Lytechinus pictus: one gene and its partner. Each later gene encodes a partner of the first gene's protein in a complex. Links are inferred from orthologs where the notes say so. Each region holds a gene or a part of one and is shown on either strand. Other genes may lie near its edges. The genes, in order: putative RNA-binding protein 15B and N6-adenosine-methyltransferase catalytic subunit-like.

Evidence for each region.
Region 2: putative RNA-binding protein 15B (region 1) and N6-adenosine-methyltransferase catalytic subunit-like share a complex: the UniProt entries of both Drosophila melanogaster proteins name them as parts of the WMM complex. The link is inferred for Lytechinus pictus from reciprocal best matches to the Drosophila melanogaster genes nito and Mettl3.

The regions. Positions count from the first base shown.
Region 1 is NC_087247.1:53,157,746-53,166,787, reverse strand, and holds the start of putative RNA-binding protein 15B, read left to right. Parts: upstream 1-5,120; 5' UTR 5,121-5,236; coding exon 5,237-7,612; 3' UTR 7,613-9,042. UniProt on the Drosophila melanogaster protein: RNA-binding protein that acts as an associated component of the WMM complex, a complex that mediates N6-methyladenosine (m6A) methylation of mRNAs. M6a modification plays a role in the efficiency of mRNA splicing and is required for sex determination.
Region 2 is NC_087246.1:25,856,382-25,865,430, reverse strand, and holds the start of N6-adenosine-methyltransferase catalytic subunit-like, read right to left. Parts: upstream 4,104-9,049; 5' UTR 4,081-4,103; coding exon of another isoform or gene 3,960-4,080; 5' UTR 3,632-3,959; coding exon 3,541-3,631; exon of another isoform or gene 3,442-3,540; intron 2,634-3,441; coding exon 2,485-2,633; intron 813-2,484; coding exon 745-812; intron 68-744; coding exon 1-67. Other genes in the region: arrestin domain-containing protein 3-like, read left to right, coding at 3,960-4,080, 7,538-7,672. UniProt on the Drosophila melanogaster protein: Catalytic component of the WMM complex, a complex that mediates N6-methyladenosine (m6A) methylation of mRNAs, a modification that plays a role in the efficiency of mRNA splicing and is required for sex determination.

The DNA of each region.
Region 1 (9,042 bases):
TGTGATGCTTTTCACTAAATATAATGCAATTTGTAATGATGAGTAATTTTTATCTAATTGCTTTGATGAAACTGGATATAATGCTTATGACCTGAATTCAGAAAGAGATCCTTCAAGACAGAGCTTTGGAAATAGTTCTCCAGTTCTACAGGTATCTTTATTTTTTGTTTAACTTCTTCCTGAGCGATCAGATGAATAATATTTAACTTAATGGAAGATGAAAATAGATCAAATTTTGTGGCGTAAACATTTAAACGTTAAAACAAAGGCATTGACAAACTGTATTTATACATTGAAAATGATATTTAGTGGTTTAAGGTCTAACGAATATACGTCTGGTTGCGTAATTATACACTCCCGGTATTAGCAACGGGTTTTAGCAAAGTTTTGGACTAAAATATCGAATCATCTTCATAAAACACTATAGTCATGATAGTAGCTGTCTTACACTAAAGGCCATAGAGGTGGCACAATGTGGAATGTGTAAAGAAGAAAAGTGACTGACCTTTTTTTTATTAAAGCATTGGAATATAAGATCAAAATTAAAGGATTTGCTCTACACTTTTGTATGATTCTGGGATTTTTTAAATAACAAATTAAAGATTTCATGACATCTGTGGGCAACTGCCCCTCCCCAGTCCACTCTGTAAGGGCATGCGATAAGCTTTGTTATTCGTTATGAACATTCAACAATAAATGTATAACCAGGTGCCGCTGATCATTCTTGACCGGCGCCGATCTAGATTTGGTTGGCAATAGGCCCTTCTTCATTATTCTAACGGCGCCTATTTATTGGAACCAGGCGCTGATTTATAACCAAATGGCGCTGATTATTCTTGTCCGGCGCCGATTTAGATTTTATATTAGGGGGGGGGGGGCGCCCCCTGTGATTCTGGATCCGCCACTGTTCTTTATGTAAACGATTACCATTATGATAGGTCTACTTAATTTTTGTCATTCATTTCATTTGCAGATGATACTAATTTATTTTTTTATACAATTATCCCAATGTTCTTTTTAATGTTGTTAATGCAGTTACGGAACATATTACAGCGGATAAGGGCTAATATCACTTAATCTTCTGAAGACGAATTATATTTTTGTTTAGTAACTCCCTATTACCCACTGATATTATTTTTGACAATACCCCCTTTAAAACAAGTATCTCATACTTATTTTATCTGTGTTTCAGTAGACAATAAACTTTTCTGGAAATTACACCTTCAAAATATCTGTAAAATAATCTCTCGCATTATCGGTATAATCAACAAACTTAAATCACATCAACCACAATCACTTTTGTATTCATGCTCTACTCATCCCTTATTTTACCATATTTGAACTTCAGCCTTCTTGCTTGGGGCAGCTCACACCAAACATTCGTTGAAAGGATTTAATTACTACAAAAGAGAGTTCTCTTGCAAGGCACATATATATGCGCCCATAATGACTCACTATTCTTCGAACATAACATCTTAAAAATCTATTTTTAGTTCAACTTGGTGAATTTATGCCTAGAATTCTGGTCCTTTACCCTCCGTGTTTCATGATATCTTTATCAAAAACCGTATAGTTCATAAATACCCAACCACACAATCAGATTAATTTCATCTACTTCTTTTGAGAACATTTTCCGCAGAAAACTCTTTTATTTTTTTTTATTGTTGTGCAATGGTGAAAACACATTTATGTCCGTGGAGCCTTGTCAAAAGGCTATCATACAATAGATGTGGTAGACGGAGAAGACCATTTTCTGGGGAGCTGATCTGGAAGAAAGAGAATGAGTAATTGAGAAAGGGAGGGGTGCGGTAGAGAAAATAAAATATTTAGAGAGAGAGGGGGAAATTGTGATATGTGTGTGTGTGAGAGAGAGAGAGAGAGGGGGGGGTAAGAGGTGGATAGATGAGTAAGTGTGTTAATAAATAATGTCCAACTTTTCTGAAATTTTGCATTTTAAATGAAGAAAGTAAATAAATTGACAAATAAATTACTAAATAAATGAATAAATCATTTTCAAAATAGTTTATATTTTCATATGAACATGATAAGGTTACAACCATGATGTAAGATAATCAAATATTTTATTGTTTAAATGTTCAATTTTGGCATTAGAAATTACCCCTGTTATTTTTGAAAAAGTAATAATTTGATCGATAATGCATGCTCACTCATGTTTGATTTGACAATTAGATTTCTTGGCACAAGTTAGCAAATGAAGCACTCCTGCCAAATTGTATTGATCAATCTTGATTCATTAAAAAGATATTTTATAAAAAGGAGAGCTGCTTTTTTGTTGTGTTTGGCTGCAAAAGTTTCCCCCGCATAGACTTTGGTAAGAATCCTGATAAAAAGGAATTAAAATTTTCTTCAAAAACTGTATGTATGGCAAATTAAAGATTTATATATTATGTGCGAGTTTTTATTGGTCTATACCATAACATTTTTCTGGGTATACTACCCTTATAGATTAACTTGCTAAGTTTTATTGGGTGGTGGGAAGATTTGGGAATAACGGAAGAAAGTAGTGACGAAGGAAATAAAATAAAAGAAACAGAGAATATTTTGAAGGCCGTATATACGCCATACAGAATAAACAAGAAAGAAATGCACATTATTTTACACTATCTAATTTCCTTTCTTAAAATTCAAACTGTAGGCTGCATGTTGTGCTTTAATTTTAACGTCTGGTACATTCGTGAATAAGATCCTGGGGTGTTCTACGATGGAAAAATAATGGAGTCAGATAACACATAAGTACATGTACATCTTAATTGAGAGCCCCCCCCTTCCATGGGGTAATTGCGTTTTCTTCTGCTTTGTTACATTCAATTGTTGAGCCCTCCAAAATCCAAACCAACTATTGAGGACAATATGCATATATCTATATATGTATATCCTTTGTTATGCCAGAATTACATGTATCATTCGCAACACACTCTGATAATGAGGTGATATATTATCCCCTCTCCGGTCCACCGGGGGTGGGGGGGGGGGGTTGCTGTATTTTTTAAATATTGGAAAGGTGAGAAATAGGTTATAGGCGCACTAATTGGTTAAAACAATCAAACGAAGGACGTTTCAAAATTACATTAGGAAGGAAACAAGATAATCGATAACGTGCATGCATACATGCGAAGGTCAGTATCTATATAGGGCAGGGGCAGATCCAGGATTTCGTAAGGGGGGGGTATAGATTTTAGCGGCCGGGGGAGGGCGGGTGGGGAAGGAGGGGACCTGAAGGACAAGGATTTATTATTTTTGTGTGTGGGATGTGCGGGAGTGTTTATTATTCTTTTTTTTCTGTCTTATACTTCTTAATTTCTTCAAGTGAATTGGAAAATGAATGGATTAATTTGTGAATTTATGTTTATGAATTTTACTTATTTACTGGTTCTTTGATGGAGCTGAAGCTATTATGATGTATCATTTATGAAGTTATGAAATTTATCAGTTTGTGTTTGTATTCACTGGAAGAAGCAATAAAAGAATACTTTAAAACAGTATAAAGTATAAAGGTCTGCCGACTAATCATAAAGTTGATATGCGAGTAACTACACAGGTTCTCTACACTGCAGGCGTCTTCTGCTAATGGGGGGGGGGGGCAGGATTATTTTCATTCAAAGAATATTCTCCCCGGGTTGGCAGCTCGAAGTGCTTTTTTAGAATACTATTTTAGGGAGGGAATGTTCCTATGGACGGAAGTTTCAGTAATTTTGTAAACCACAAATCCCCGATTTTTCCCTTTTTTCAAATTTGGTTTTATTCGATTTTCAACAGAAATAAAATGGTCATAAATTATTACAATGACATTTGCAAATGAAACTTATACAAACAATTTACATTGAGGTATATGTACAATATGCGATATTTTACCATAAGTAAAACAAAGTATTATATAAAAACAATTATTATAAACATTATAAAGATCTGAGAAAATGGAGGGATCCACTAAGCAACAAAAGCAAACTAAATGCTTGTAGTGTGTGGACCCCTCTAAATAATTATTGTAGAATTGTCTACAAAGACAGACAGAGAGGTAACAAAACATAAAACAGCACAAGAACAAAAAACGAAGAACAGGGGAAGAAAAGAAAAAGAAAAGAAAAGGGAAACAAACACGAAGGATTTAAAAACAAAAATGAAAAGAAATAAAGAAAGTAAGATTAGAGCAGAACTTAAATGCTGAAAAGGGAAAATAAGTTGAGTAGGCATGAAATGGTAAAGTAAATGAGGTAAGTTATAATTATTTGAATTGATGAATATGGAAAATTATTGTCAACATTTACTAACCAAGTTGTCAATTTTAAATTTCTTGGGGATCTTAATTTCAAAACAACTATAACTGTCTTATTACTTGTAAGATTCCTTGCAAACTTTCACCAATCCGTTTTACTTATTTTCTCCTCTCTCACACATCGTATGACTACGTTTGGATTCGTCTAAAGGCCCCCTCACCCCTAACCGAATTGCCTGAAATATGCCTTGCGATGGCTGGCGAAAGGCATTTTTTAAAAATCGTTTTCAATGGAAACTGATAGTAAATCATATTTACCCTTCGTGTTTGGGTTCGTACATCTTTTGAAATTATATGTGATCGTTTCATTCTTACAAATAAAACAGTGAGAATAATATAAGCATCGAAAACCTAAAAAGAATCTGAAATTTTCTGCTAAATGACTTTTAATGTTGCTCTTTCTTTGATTCAACAAAAGATTAAATTAGTTAGCACACCCTTATCCAAAACAATTTCAGACACAAATAGATATGACAATTATTAACAAAAAACAACAACATTTACTTGCTCTAATGAATATTCATGCATTATTAAAATATGGCGTTAATTGAAAAATATAAGTACATTCAACTTGATTTTATAAGTAGTACTCATCTTTGCCTAATTGAGTTAGATTTACTCAATCAAAGCAAGCTATCAATACGTGAATTTTCTTAAATGTATATTGAACCCAAATAAATCAAGTAAATTAAAAGACAAGTTAAAACTACTTAACTACTTAAAAACGAAAAATAATTACAAATTGTATATTCTACTTAAATATATTAAGTGTTAATTACCGATTCAGAATTTTTTTTTACAGTGTACATTGTCTGGTGATAAGACTATGCGCACATACCCGGATGCAACGCAGAATAAGCGGCCATATTTGCTCAGTGTAGTTGATAAAGCATGAAACAGGAAGGAGTTTAACTTTCTGAATTGCTGTGAAATTTACTGCAAATGGATCGTCAGCAGGGTAGAAAACCTATGAGGAGGGTGAGGGATAGTCCTGAAATGCAGCGAATGCCAGATCGAGATAGAATGAGCCCTGGGAGTGACAGGTATGATGGTAGGGGAGGTGCAAAAATGGGAGGGCGAATGAGGAGCATGGAGAGAGATGACGGTGGCAGGCGTGGGACCGGCGGCGATAGGCGTCCACCACCCCGCGATGACTATGATCGCCCGCAGAATTATGATCGTCCTCAAAACTTCCAAAGTGATGGCTTTCAGAGGAAAGAACCAGATTGTTTAAGAATCACAAATTTCCCTTCTCATGTTTCTGATACAGCAATTAGAGATGCTCTTTTTCATGAATTTAAGAAATATGGTGAAGTAAATGTGCGTGTTGTGTTCAGTCAAGCAAAAAATGAGCGGATTGCTTATGTGAGATTTAGACTACCAGATCAGGCTAGAGATGCAATGCAAGCTCGTGGTGATCGTCTTACATTGTTTGCAAGACCGTTACACATTGTAGCAATTGTAAATAAAACAAATCATAATCAGGGGCAAGGGCATGATGGTGGTTACATGAATAATAGACAAAATGATTTTCAAGGGAGACGTGGTGGAATGCAAGGAAAGAATTACAGGCAGGATATGGGCAGTAGTGGTGGTGGCGGCAGAGGAAGAGATAGAGATTTTAATCGATATGAATCAAATTCCCGTAACTATGGAAATGATGGGTATCACCAAAATCAAGGTCGTGATAGAGACCGTGATGCAACATTTTTGCCTGAGGATGACCCAAAGGCTACACGTACAGTGTTTTGTGGTAACTTGGAAGATGGTATCCAAGAAAGTGAGATAAGAAGGCATTTTGAGAGATATGGCTTTGTTGAAGAAATTGACATCAAGTATCCACCTCGAGGCCAGGGAAATCCTTTTGCTTTTGTGAAATTTGAAAATTTGGATATGGCTTATAAGGCAATAATCTCTATGTCTGGCCAGTACATTGGGAGGAATCAGTGCAAGACAGGATATGGAAAACAGTCTCCAACAAATTGTCTATGGGTTGGAGGTTTGGGGCCTTGGATCACATTGGGTGTGCTGGAAAGAGAGTTTGATCGCTTTGGAGCAATTAGAAAGATTGATTATATTAAAGGTGATTCATTTGCGTACGTCCAGTATGAAACTGTAGAAGCAGCCCAGGCAGCTGCCAGCCACATGCGTGGTGTTCCTTTAGGAGGACCAGACAAACGACTTCGGGTAGACTTTGCTGAACATGGGCCTGGCATCCAGACAACTAAAAAGCAGTTTAGACCATACCAAGGACCACCCAACCATGATGATGGCTCAGGTGGCAGAGGCTACAATCGTTACAATCAAGACAGAGATATTGGTCGAGATATTTCACCTCCATCATTTCGTGATGGATCTGATCAGTGGCAAGGAGGGGGAGGAGGTTTTGATGGAGGTCGTGGGAACTGGCAGTCTGGTAGTCGATACAAAAATGATAACTGGAACCGAAGGGACAATGACCAATCAGGAAGAATGATGCAACGAGGTGATAATCGTAGAAGGCGAAATGGATCCCCTGATGATTTCGCTGGTAGGGATGACTGGTCACCAAGCAATGTGAAAGCATCTAAGCGCCGTAGGTCCCCTGGTGGTGATTGGTCTCCTGAGCGAAGGAAACCTAGAGATTCTTCACATGGGCGTGATTGGGATGCTTCACCAGATGGCCGTGTACGCCGTCAACGATCCATAAGTAGTGATCTTTCTGACCAGGATTTTGGTAGTCAACCCATGGAACGTCGTCGAAAGCGAGGTAGTAGGCGCTCCAGAATTCCAGATAGTTTAGATAACTTGTCTGATCTTCTAAATTACTTACCAATGTCTTGGAGAGGTCATTTGGTGTTGAAGAACAGTGCATTTGCTACTCGCATGTTTTTGGTAGGAGGAGATGCAGACACTGCTGAAGCTCTGCTGCCACATGACTTAGGAAGTGATGAGTCTGCCTTGAGGATCACACAGCGCTTACGTTTAGATCAACCTAAGCTTGATGAAGTGGGCAAAAGAATCTCGCAAGCTGGATCTAGTGGTCATGCAATTTTGCTTTCTTTCGCTGGAACAAGTGAAGATTCAGACTCTTTACCATCTGGAACCCAGGCACGTGCCTTGGTGAACTTGGTTACTTACCTTCAGCAGAAGAAAGCTGCTGGAGTTATCAGCCTACCAGTTAGTGGAGAGCAAAATAAGGATAACGTTGGTGTCCTTCATGCCTTTCCACCATGTGAATTCAGTCACAAGTACCTTCTTGATATTGCTCCTGGTTTAGGCCCAGATCCTTGCAAAGAGGATCATCTTGTTGTGATCATTGTGAAGGGGGCAGCATAGGTTTTTAATATGTTTTTAGAGTAATTTAACTAAATAATTTGCCTTGGTATGTAGTGTGTAAAGTTATAGAATTAGAAATGAATAAAAAAATAAAACTTCTTAACATTCAATTGGGAATCTTTTCATGCATGTACATGCACACTTGTATTTGTCATATTTCAGATAAGAATGCTTGGCAAAATTGTGTATATTTTGTAATTAGTGATGAAATATCTTATGCAATTGTTTTAAAATGTGTGATTGATGAAGTATTAGGAAGTAGATTATAACAAGTTGTTTATTATGTTGAAGTAACTTTGTACTGATATTTGCATCCCGATGAGTCAACCCCTAAACATGGCCTAAATGGCAGGACAGAAATCAAAAACGTATTCTACTTTGTGAATTCAAAATCATTTTTCAATAATACTTTATTTTCAGTACTGTTATTTGAACTTTTTAAGCCTATTTCTATTTTGTTGAATAATATTTCTGTGTTACATTATCATTGCTAATATGATTTCTAGCTTAAAAGAAATACAGATCCGGTCAGTGATTTTTGACAATACTGAATATTTACCCTGAACTTGACTTTACACTCAGCCAGAATAAAAGAAATCTGCCTATTCAGCTCTTTTCGCATTGGCTGTTATAGAGTAAAAGTGAAACTAAGATCCTATGGGATTTTTTATCCTAGAGTTACATGTGAAAAACAAAAATTTGATGACCATAACCATTGCAGTTTGTGATCAAATATGTAATGTTCATTTCTACTGAAATTCATGAAATTGTAAATGGAATATTTCATAGTCCCCTGTACAGTATATCCTTTTCATCAAGACAGCGTATATGAGACAACATGTATATTCAATGAGTTTTTTTTCTATTAATTAAATTATCGCAATTTGAATTTTAAATGCATGACAATGTAATTTACTCTTTTACTCTCAGCATAATTATTTTTTGGGATACACTAAATGTAGTACATGTATGCGAGTTGGGCATACTTTTTCTTCATGAAAGAACTTCTTACTGTTTGTTGCATAACTGGCACTCTAAAGATAAGCAACACACAAAATACTTGGTTTGCAATGGCCATCGATGGGCGCTCTTTCAGTTCATAAAATGGACAAGCTTGCATCTCATTTTGTAGCAAGGCCATCATGACCGGATCAGTTGTTGAATGGGAATGTCTTCAAGTTGTAGCAACTGGTGAAATGGAATTCTGCAATGATTGCCCTCCCAAATGCACGCTCCCCATTTCCATTAGCTACCTGTCAAATGCACCTTAAAATATCTTGAACAATTTATCTTATGGGCTCAGTTCAGTTACAAATCTGTCACATCCCTTCTCTGAAAATGTTCCTGATCCACCACTCCTCTATCCTCATACTGAGAATAAAGCTTCAAATTTGCAGCCATGACAACAATTCCAATCTCCACTGATGATT
Region 2 (9,049 bases), on another chromosome or scaffold:
TTTTTCTGATTTTACAGCTGACTGTTTGGCAGTAGAAGTAGGTCCAATATCCTGATCTGAATCAGATCTATGCACATAAAAATCAATAAATAATATAGTTCATAATGGGAGAAAGCTGGTCCATTTTAAGAGAGATATTAAGCATTGACTAACTTCATCTGTCATTTATTGTAATTTACAAAATTACTATTTGCGAGAATGCTAAACCTTGAAGGTAGTACAATATCCCCCTGAGTTTCAAATTGCTCACTCTAACACTCCTTTCTCAGAATGCTATATTTTGATCATGTAATCTTATCTGATATATATACCCACTAGAATTACTATGGTAAACCACTTTAATCTTTAATATTTAAAAGAAATATTAGGTCCCAAAATTGTTTTAAAAAAAGTACAGTACAATTCATTTCACCCCTGTTCTTAGACACAGATCAAAGACTTGAAAATTTACATCAAAATTGTTATCAAATAGTAGTTATATAATAAAAAAAAAAACTGAGCTGTAAATTTTATCCTTATAAAATTAATTGGTTTGGGCACAGATCTGATGCACAGTATCATAGCGGTAGAGGTAATGAAAATATTTGTTTGGACTTCTTAAAATAGGGTAAACAGAATATAATTGATAGATCCTACTTTAACCACTGAAAAGTCAATAGGGTACTGCATTTCTCTACTCATTGAACTGAAGTGATGCTTCATGTTCAGAGTGGATTCATTAAATCTTTTCCTTTTATGACTTACTCTTCTCTCTTTCTTTTCCTGGATTCAGTCCCATCAGAGATACCTTGACTTCCTGCAGGTACAGTACTCTGGTAAATTAAGAAGAAAAAATGAAATGAATAGTAAACTGATCAGCGACATACTTTGGAGGGCAGAAAAATAAAGAAAAAAGATAAGTAACACAGGTTCTTAAACCTGTAAATACAGTATTTCATTGACCTGGAAAAATCTATATTTTCTAACATTTACAAGATAATATAAAATCCTGAAACAGTAGTGTAACTGAGGAAAAATTTTCTAAGAAATATGCGTATGATCATTACAATGCAATTGTAAGTTTACAACACATGTTTGAATAAAAAATGGATAAAAATCAAAGGAACAAGTGTATTCTTACTGAAAGACCTACATGTACACTATCAGTAATTTGTGGGTCATGGGGCACAGGTGGCATCCCCCTTTGCCATAAATTTTGCAATGTGTCCCTCATTTTCAGACAAGTGCCCTTCTTTTTGAAGTAATATTTTTTTCAAGCGATTTATCTCTGAAACATGATCATTTTTTTATGAGTCACATTATATTTTTATCTTCTCAGCAATTTCTGTATCCTCTCATCTACAAAATATATATACTTCATCTATAAGGGATGTCATGTACCTTGTGTTAAAATGCATGATTTTATGATTTATTCCTATCAAACAACTACAGCAATGCTCTACAGAAAAACACCACCATAAAGAAAAACAATTATTCTTTACATTATCAGCTTTTATATTATCATTTGTATCTACCGCAAGAAGCTATAGCAAAAGAATGGGGTTTTTTCAATAAAAATTGACAAAAAATTGACAAATATCTACAAAATATCTTTTAGTGATCTATTCAGGGCCAGTACTACACTATAAACCAAGTAAAGCATCTTGCATATGGGCAATTTAAAAAAGAAATTGACAGAAACTTGACAAATATCTAGAAAATATATTTTAGTGATCTATCCAGGGCCAGTTCTACACCATAAACCAAGTAAAGCATCTTGCATAGGGGCAATTATATCTGCAAAATGGATTTTTGTCATTTATACAGAAATGTTCGCTGCAATGTAAGTTGTGTTTGAGTCTATGCCTCCAAAGTCTCTGATTGCACAGAAGGAAAATACACAAACTGATTTGATGTTTGGTGTGTAAAGAGTAAAACAACAAACTCAACCAATCTTATGAGCTGTGTTTGACAAGAACACCATTTTTTCCTTAAATATATCTATCGGGCCTATTCAACATCTACAGCAGTAATCATACATTTCCTTTGTTTAAAGGCAATATTGGATGGTTAAAATATAATTAAGGGTAAAGAATTTTTAGACTATGGTAGTACATTATCTTAGGAATCAAGCAAGACTGAATTTATTCTGAGAGTTATCAATATTTGACTGTCTTGTTCAAATACATTTTTCATTGATTTTGGCCTCTAGGGCCACTTCATAAAAATTTATTGTGGTAGTACATTGGGAATAGTCAGGTATTGCATTAGAAAATACATCAAACATTACAAATATGCAATGTCAGCAAAATCTGACTATGTCTACAATCAATTTTACTGCAAATGGTAAAAATAGATAACCATGTCTGCTCTGACTCAGTCAAGTAAATTGGGACTAGGAAATTGCTGCTGACTTCCAAGATTATAAATGATACGATAAACGATGAGAACACTATTCAGTATACTACCATAAATTCTAAACCTTCTTGACCAACTGTAGAATACCTTTGGAATAGGAACTGGAGCTGATCCATCTTCTTGTTTTATTCCTGTTTGTATTGATGAGGTACATGTACTACTACTCTGTGCAGGCACACTATCAGGTGGAATAGGTGAACTTGATACTTCCAACTTGAGTGAAACTGGTTTGTTCTCTGACGAATATAATTGAAAAAGGACATATCAATACAGAGGCATTAGAAACCACTACAGTGTGGACTTGTTTTCTTTATCTAAATCCAAGCTCATACAGTCATGTGGAAATGAAATATTCTTTCCTCTGAGTTTTCATGCATTTTCTTTCAAGAGTGAAAAAATTAAACAACACAGGGCTGCCAACTCTCACGCAATCTGCGTGAGTCTCACACAATTCACCCGATTCTCACGCTGAACCCCGAAAATAGAGAGAAAAAAGTTTATTAGCCTATATCGGATATTCAATAACATTATAACCCGGACAGGCAAAAGTTTCAAAGTTTTTAACCACACAAGCGCAAAGCTAAACCATCAATGCGAATTGGTTTCGGTTTGCTGCGCAAAGACAAGACATTGAGTTGCGATTGGCTTACTGTATCCCGTGTATGACTATATTAGTATATGAGAGCTGGTGACGTCGAAATTTTACTATGAAGCGGGGTTTTTGTGCGAGGCACAACAAGCGATCGAGTGTCAATGCAATGCCATGCTACTCAAAAGTTGGCAGCCCTGCAAGTGCAACATAATTTTTGCATTTTAATTAAAAAGTCGACATTTAACGTTATGATATTCCCCTTTCAAAAGCAAAATAATGAAACATGATTGAAAAGTTTCCAATTCCATTTTTTTCTACAAAAGAACATTGATATTTCACTTTCAAAAGCGAATCCAGTTTCCAAATGATGAAACATGATCGAACAATCAACCATCTTGACTCTTGAGTCACATAACCTTGGGAGGAAAATATATTTTTGTGATAAAATGTATGTATTAAATTAAAATCAATATCAGAATAATCTACGGTATGCCGCCTTACATAATTTTCAACTTATGGGACTACAGTCATGGCAGTCCTTTCCAACTCACCAGTTATTCCTGTTGTAATTTCCTTCCTTCGCATCAACTTGGCCTTTAAATCTTCTCTCTTTTTCTTAAGAGCCTCCAAAGTACTAGCCATTGTCCTTGATTGGCGATAAAGTGTTACAATAAGAGGAATATGATCACAGTATTGCCATTCAACAACAGTCTAATCCTCAGTTGGGAATTCAGCTCACATGTAATTTCAATAGCTGCGATCACAGAATCGTGATATCTGCATAAGAATTGCATTGCGCATGCACGGCTTGAAGAGAGGGATAGAGCGGCACCGCGGCGCGAGTGCGGATCGGATCGAGCGCGAGATCGAGAGGAACATGGGGAACCACCTTGGGTGTGGCCGTGACGCGATCTCTATCGTCAACAAATCATTTTGTCTTTGACTTTGGTCTAGCTAGACCTACTCAATAATGGGTAAATTGCAGGTATTTGAGGTTGTTTTCGAAGGTAGCAATGAAGTGTTCAAACCAGGGGATACCATCCAGGGACACGCAAGGATAGTTTTGACGGGAGAAAAGGGAGACATTCGAGGTAAGTATACCCAGTTGTTGTGTGTCCGGACAGGTTGTGTGTCCGGACAGGTTGTGTGTCCGGACGATCAATTTTAGAAAGTCATTTGGAAAAAATTACAAGCGAAGTTTCATCAATTTTTAGTACAAAACGTTAGGAAATATTATAAAGAACAAAACAGAAGATGATTACAAGTATTGAATTCATATTTTTAGTGTAATCCAAAGACAAAAAAGAAGGCTTCAAAAAGATAAAGTGTCCGGACACCCGACCCCCCATCCTACTAAAGTAGGAGGAATTGCCAATTGCCTTGGAACTAAGGGTATGGCTTGGTCAACAGGGGTATGGTGAGACTACCACATATCGACCACCTCTTTTGAAACCGACCACCTTGCGCACGTTAAAATTATTGCGTATTACTAACGATACGCACGGGAGAGTAGGCGCAGTGTCCATAGAAACGGTAAGAATTGATTTTACGAGAAAAAAAGAAGCAACAAGAAGTAAAAATTTAGTAGAATTAATCAAAATTGTATTGACCAGACCCAATTAAACCCCGCTGAAAAACCAAGAAATCCAATAGGAAACGGCTCTAGAACAAATATCCGTCGTCAATCGTTCAATCATGTGTCGGAGCTCGCAGTGGAAGTAGTGAGACGATCATTTAGCATGTTGACATCATAGAACTGATTTGGAAGAGTAAAAATATTTTGCCACCGCGACAAGAATCGGTCGTAAACTCAATGTACCGCGGGTGGTCGGTTTCAAAAGACGGGTGCAAATGAGCAAATGTAAAATCGTCGTATTCGTTGTTCGTCGATATATACGCGGATTGAATCGGAGTCGCCGAGCGAAACATGGGAATCTGATCTGCTCAATTTTCTGCACAAATGAGACGAAAACTGGGTAAAATTGATCGCAGATACGATGCTTAGAAGATTAGATGGTCGATAAGGGGTAGTTCCAACCATACTGCGGTATGCATGTCAGATCAGATCATCAGGGGCCGATTGCACGAAAGGGTCTTTCCAAGACCAAGGTCAAGGCCGCTGTATGCGGCATATTTCTTAAATGTATGATAAACAAATAAAATTTGTGAGATAGCATTTAAATCAATTTGTATACAATTTCAAGATATATCACATCATTTCATAAACAAAGATTATTATTTTTGTTTACTTTATCGGATGAATAAAATATGTTTGCAGGTATGGCAAGTTCCCCCAAGTCTGCGCATGCAGTCCCCCTTGTCTGCGCACATGCTTATCTGCGCAATTCTAGTAAAAGAAGATACGCAACGAACACAGACTTTACAAATGCAATACATAGACAGATATTCATCAAACAATCCGACTCAAAATATTGGAAAAATAATGAATTTTGGGCATTTCATGTGACGGCCTTAAAATGCAGCCTTTGTCATCAAAATCCCCGAATGGTGTGCAAAGTGAAGGGGTGCGCAGACATGGGGTACCATTTTTTTTTTCATTCTGATTTCTCCAAGAAAATCCTATATATTCTTTCAAATTTTTATGAGATATTTGGCACACTTTAATACTCCTAATATAATATCAGGAACATCATTACCGGCTAACTGAAAGATTTTGTGAAATAGAAAGAAATTCGTGTTAAATCTTAACTCATATACCGGTAGCTAGGTGCGCAGACTTATAGGGACCACGGTGACCATCATAATTTATTTAAGATGCGTTTCACATGGCGCATCATAAATGGGCGACACGGAAGACGGTTCTTGCAGCCTTATCTTGAAATAAGTCACCTCTCTTCTTGTGTGTGTCAGTGTGTGTGTGCGCTCTTTGTGTACATAGTCAATGGGAGATGGAGTGGTTACTTAAACCAGGATAATGCCGTTCTGGCAAAGACCCTTTCGTGGAATCGTCCCCAGGACCTCAACAAAGAGGTCCGCATTTCCTGGGGTCCAGCGTCAGCAGAGCTCTGTAGTGGTACTGTACTGGGGCCCAGGGGTGGTATTCTGAATTCTAATATCCATTTTATCTCAGAGTCAGATAAAATAAAATATTTTATCTTCGTTAAAATGAGTGTGATAAAATATCCATAAAATCTCTCCAAATTGGTATTCTGAGAACCAGTTTATCTTCATTTAATCTCTGTAAGACACATCTATCATGTCTATTTTTGAAGTAATATCCAATGAGAAAGTGAGAAACATCAATTGTTTTATAATTATAGCACTTTCATCTCACTCAACTAATCATTGATATCCATTCCGCCAGGAGGTATGGCAAAGGAGCAAGATTATGTCAATTTATTGAATTCAAATACGCTTGCACTATGCGCTAGGGCATTTTTACAGAGATTTCTTTTAAAAATATGACAATACTCACAGAGTCCCAATGTCAATATCGCATCATCACCAGCATCATTTTAGAGACAATTATTAGTCCAGAAAATATTATGAAATAATTCCTTATCATACAGGAGTAATGTTCAGGTATTATACTATTACTCTCAATGATATAATTTTTCTTTCAAATTTGTCTTCAAGCTTTTAGAGCTAATTCACTTAGAAACCATGCTGGATTGGACGACGCAGAGATAAAAGAGGCCCCACCCTATTTTAAGTTTCTTTTTAAGTTTCTTCTTCAAAGTAACGTGGGTACACGCACATCATCTGCGTAGCAATGGCTAGATACGCGATGGATATTTCTATGTAGGCTCTGCTCTGTCGCGTATAATCTTTAGATATGTAGATCTAATGAAGTTAAGTTTGCTAAAATTTCATATTTTATCTGAGAGATAAAATGTCATCTCAGAAAACCAATTTCATTTTTGAAGACAAAATGAAATATTTTAAAGATAAAATTACCTCAGAATACCTCAATACCACCCCTGGAGCAGGACATCAAGATAAAGTTCTTAACCCAATCAACTCTTAGTAACGGGGTATGCCTTAATTTTGACTTAGTTTAATATAAAGAACAAAGTCTGCACTTATCTGACTTCATTTTTGCTCCAGTCCAAAAACATGACCAATATGATTACAAATATCCAACTTATAATATGACTGATTGCTGAATCCTTCCCTTGAAAATACAAATGGATCCCCGGAAATGGATCTAAGTTTAAAAAAGAATAATTGCATCATGCCGGCGCATCTTCACCAATGTGCAATTCTTACTCCATCCATGGTAGTACACATGTTCCTAATGCAAATATAGTGATGAGTATTTTTTTTTAAGCCTAAAGGCCAATCACAGAATGAAAATTTTGCAGAAAGGAAAGACCTAACTGTTACTAGGTTTATGCATTAAACAAGAATTAATGAATACTTTGCTTTGCATATTCTGGTATACCTACAGAGCATATATATGTAACCAGCGGAATTGACAAAAACTTCATTCATGGAAATAAAAAGTGATAGAGTTACAATTTTCCTCGCTCCCCTTTTCTCTTTCTCCTCCCCTTTTCTCTCTGTCTCTCTCATGACTACATGCAGGTATTAAGGTAATATGCAAAGGCAAGTCCTACACTCACTGGACTGAAACACGAGGCTCCGGAGATCACAGAAGAACCATCCATTACACATGGAAAATTCCATTCTTCAAGCAAGAAGTCATTCTCCGTGGAGCAGGTTAATATTTCTTTGCATCCATTTGAATTTTGATTCATCTATAATTTATTTTTAATGGACATGTATTTGAGATACTCTCAAGCTCAGTTCCTTTGCTTCACACATATTTCATTTTTCTAAATGAATAAATTTTCTGATCATGTATACTTAACTATTTACTGATATGCATTGTCATAGATAAGAAATAAGAGAATTTATTATTTAAAAAATAATGTATCCATTTTAAAATGGCATAGCCTATGTGTGAACTTTACACTGTAAATTTATGTTTGTTTTATCAATATATAACTTGTTATTCATTGAATAAATGTTCATTGGTCTCCAAATATACAACAATTGCTGCCCCCCAAAAAAAATCACAGGCAGCTGGGCCCGTATTCCATAAACGAGATAAGCTTTTTGCTTAAGTCTTAGCAATTTGTCTTAGCATATTGCTTGTCTAAGAAATCTTCCCTAACGATATTCTATAAACTTTAAGACATTTGTCTCAAGTCAGACGATATGGCTAAGCCAAAGTCTCAAAGTCAAATTCTATGACCTTCTAAACTGCTGCAGGGGTGACTGCAACAAAATAGCAAAAATGTCATTGAAGTTGTTTTTTCTTAACAAGTTTGATTTTATTGAAACTAATTACAACCATTGTAGTAAAAGAAGAGCATTCATCACCCATATATGGTAAGAATTCTTTATTCAGATTATTCTATATTTTGTTAATTACCAAAACATTTCAATCCCAAACCGAGTGACTTGCACAGTTTTTTATGTATCAGTCCCATTCATTACTTTTCATGTATTGTTTGTCAAAATCTAAATGGGATAGGGTAGATTCCTCTCGACATCTTTATTCTACTTCAGTTGAAGTAGACCTAGGGTCTAAGGGAAAACATTTGTAACTTTTGAGACTAGTCTTGGGTCTAACATTAGGCCTAGATCTAGCCTAGGCCCAAGATCTACAACTAATATCCGTCTGTTTGGAGGAGAATTGAACATTGTTTTTACTTTTTACTTTCCTGAAGGCTGAAGCAAAAGCCAAAACGTAACTTTGTTAGTCTAGTGCCGTAGTGGAGCAACTGAGACTGAAGCTACATACTAGGCCTAGATCTAACGATAGACCTATATTAGTATTGGTCTAGGCCTAGAACATGCAGGACTTAGCCTGGCTTAGCCTTAAGACAGGGATAGATCTATCTAGATTTACATGTAGGTCTAGAATAGATCTGACTTAGGCCTAGACCAAAAGCTTCAGTCTCCGACTGTATTTTGGTTGTTCCGCTATTTTAGTATTACGAGTACGACACTAAACAGTCTAACGTTACGTTGGCCTAGTCTCACCAATGTGATATGACAGTAAATGTCAGAAACTTTTAAATAAATCCC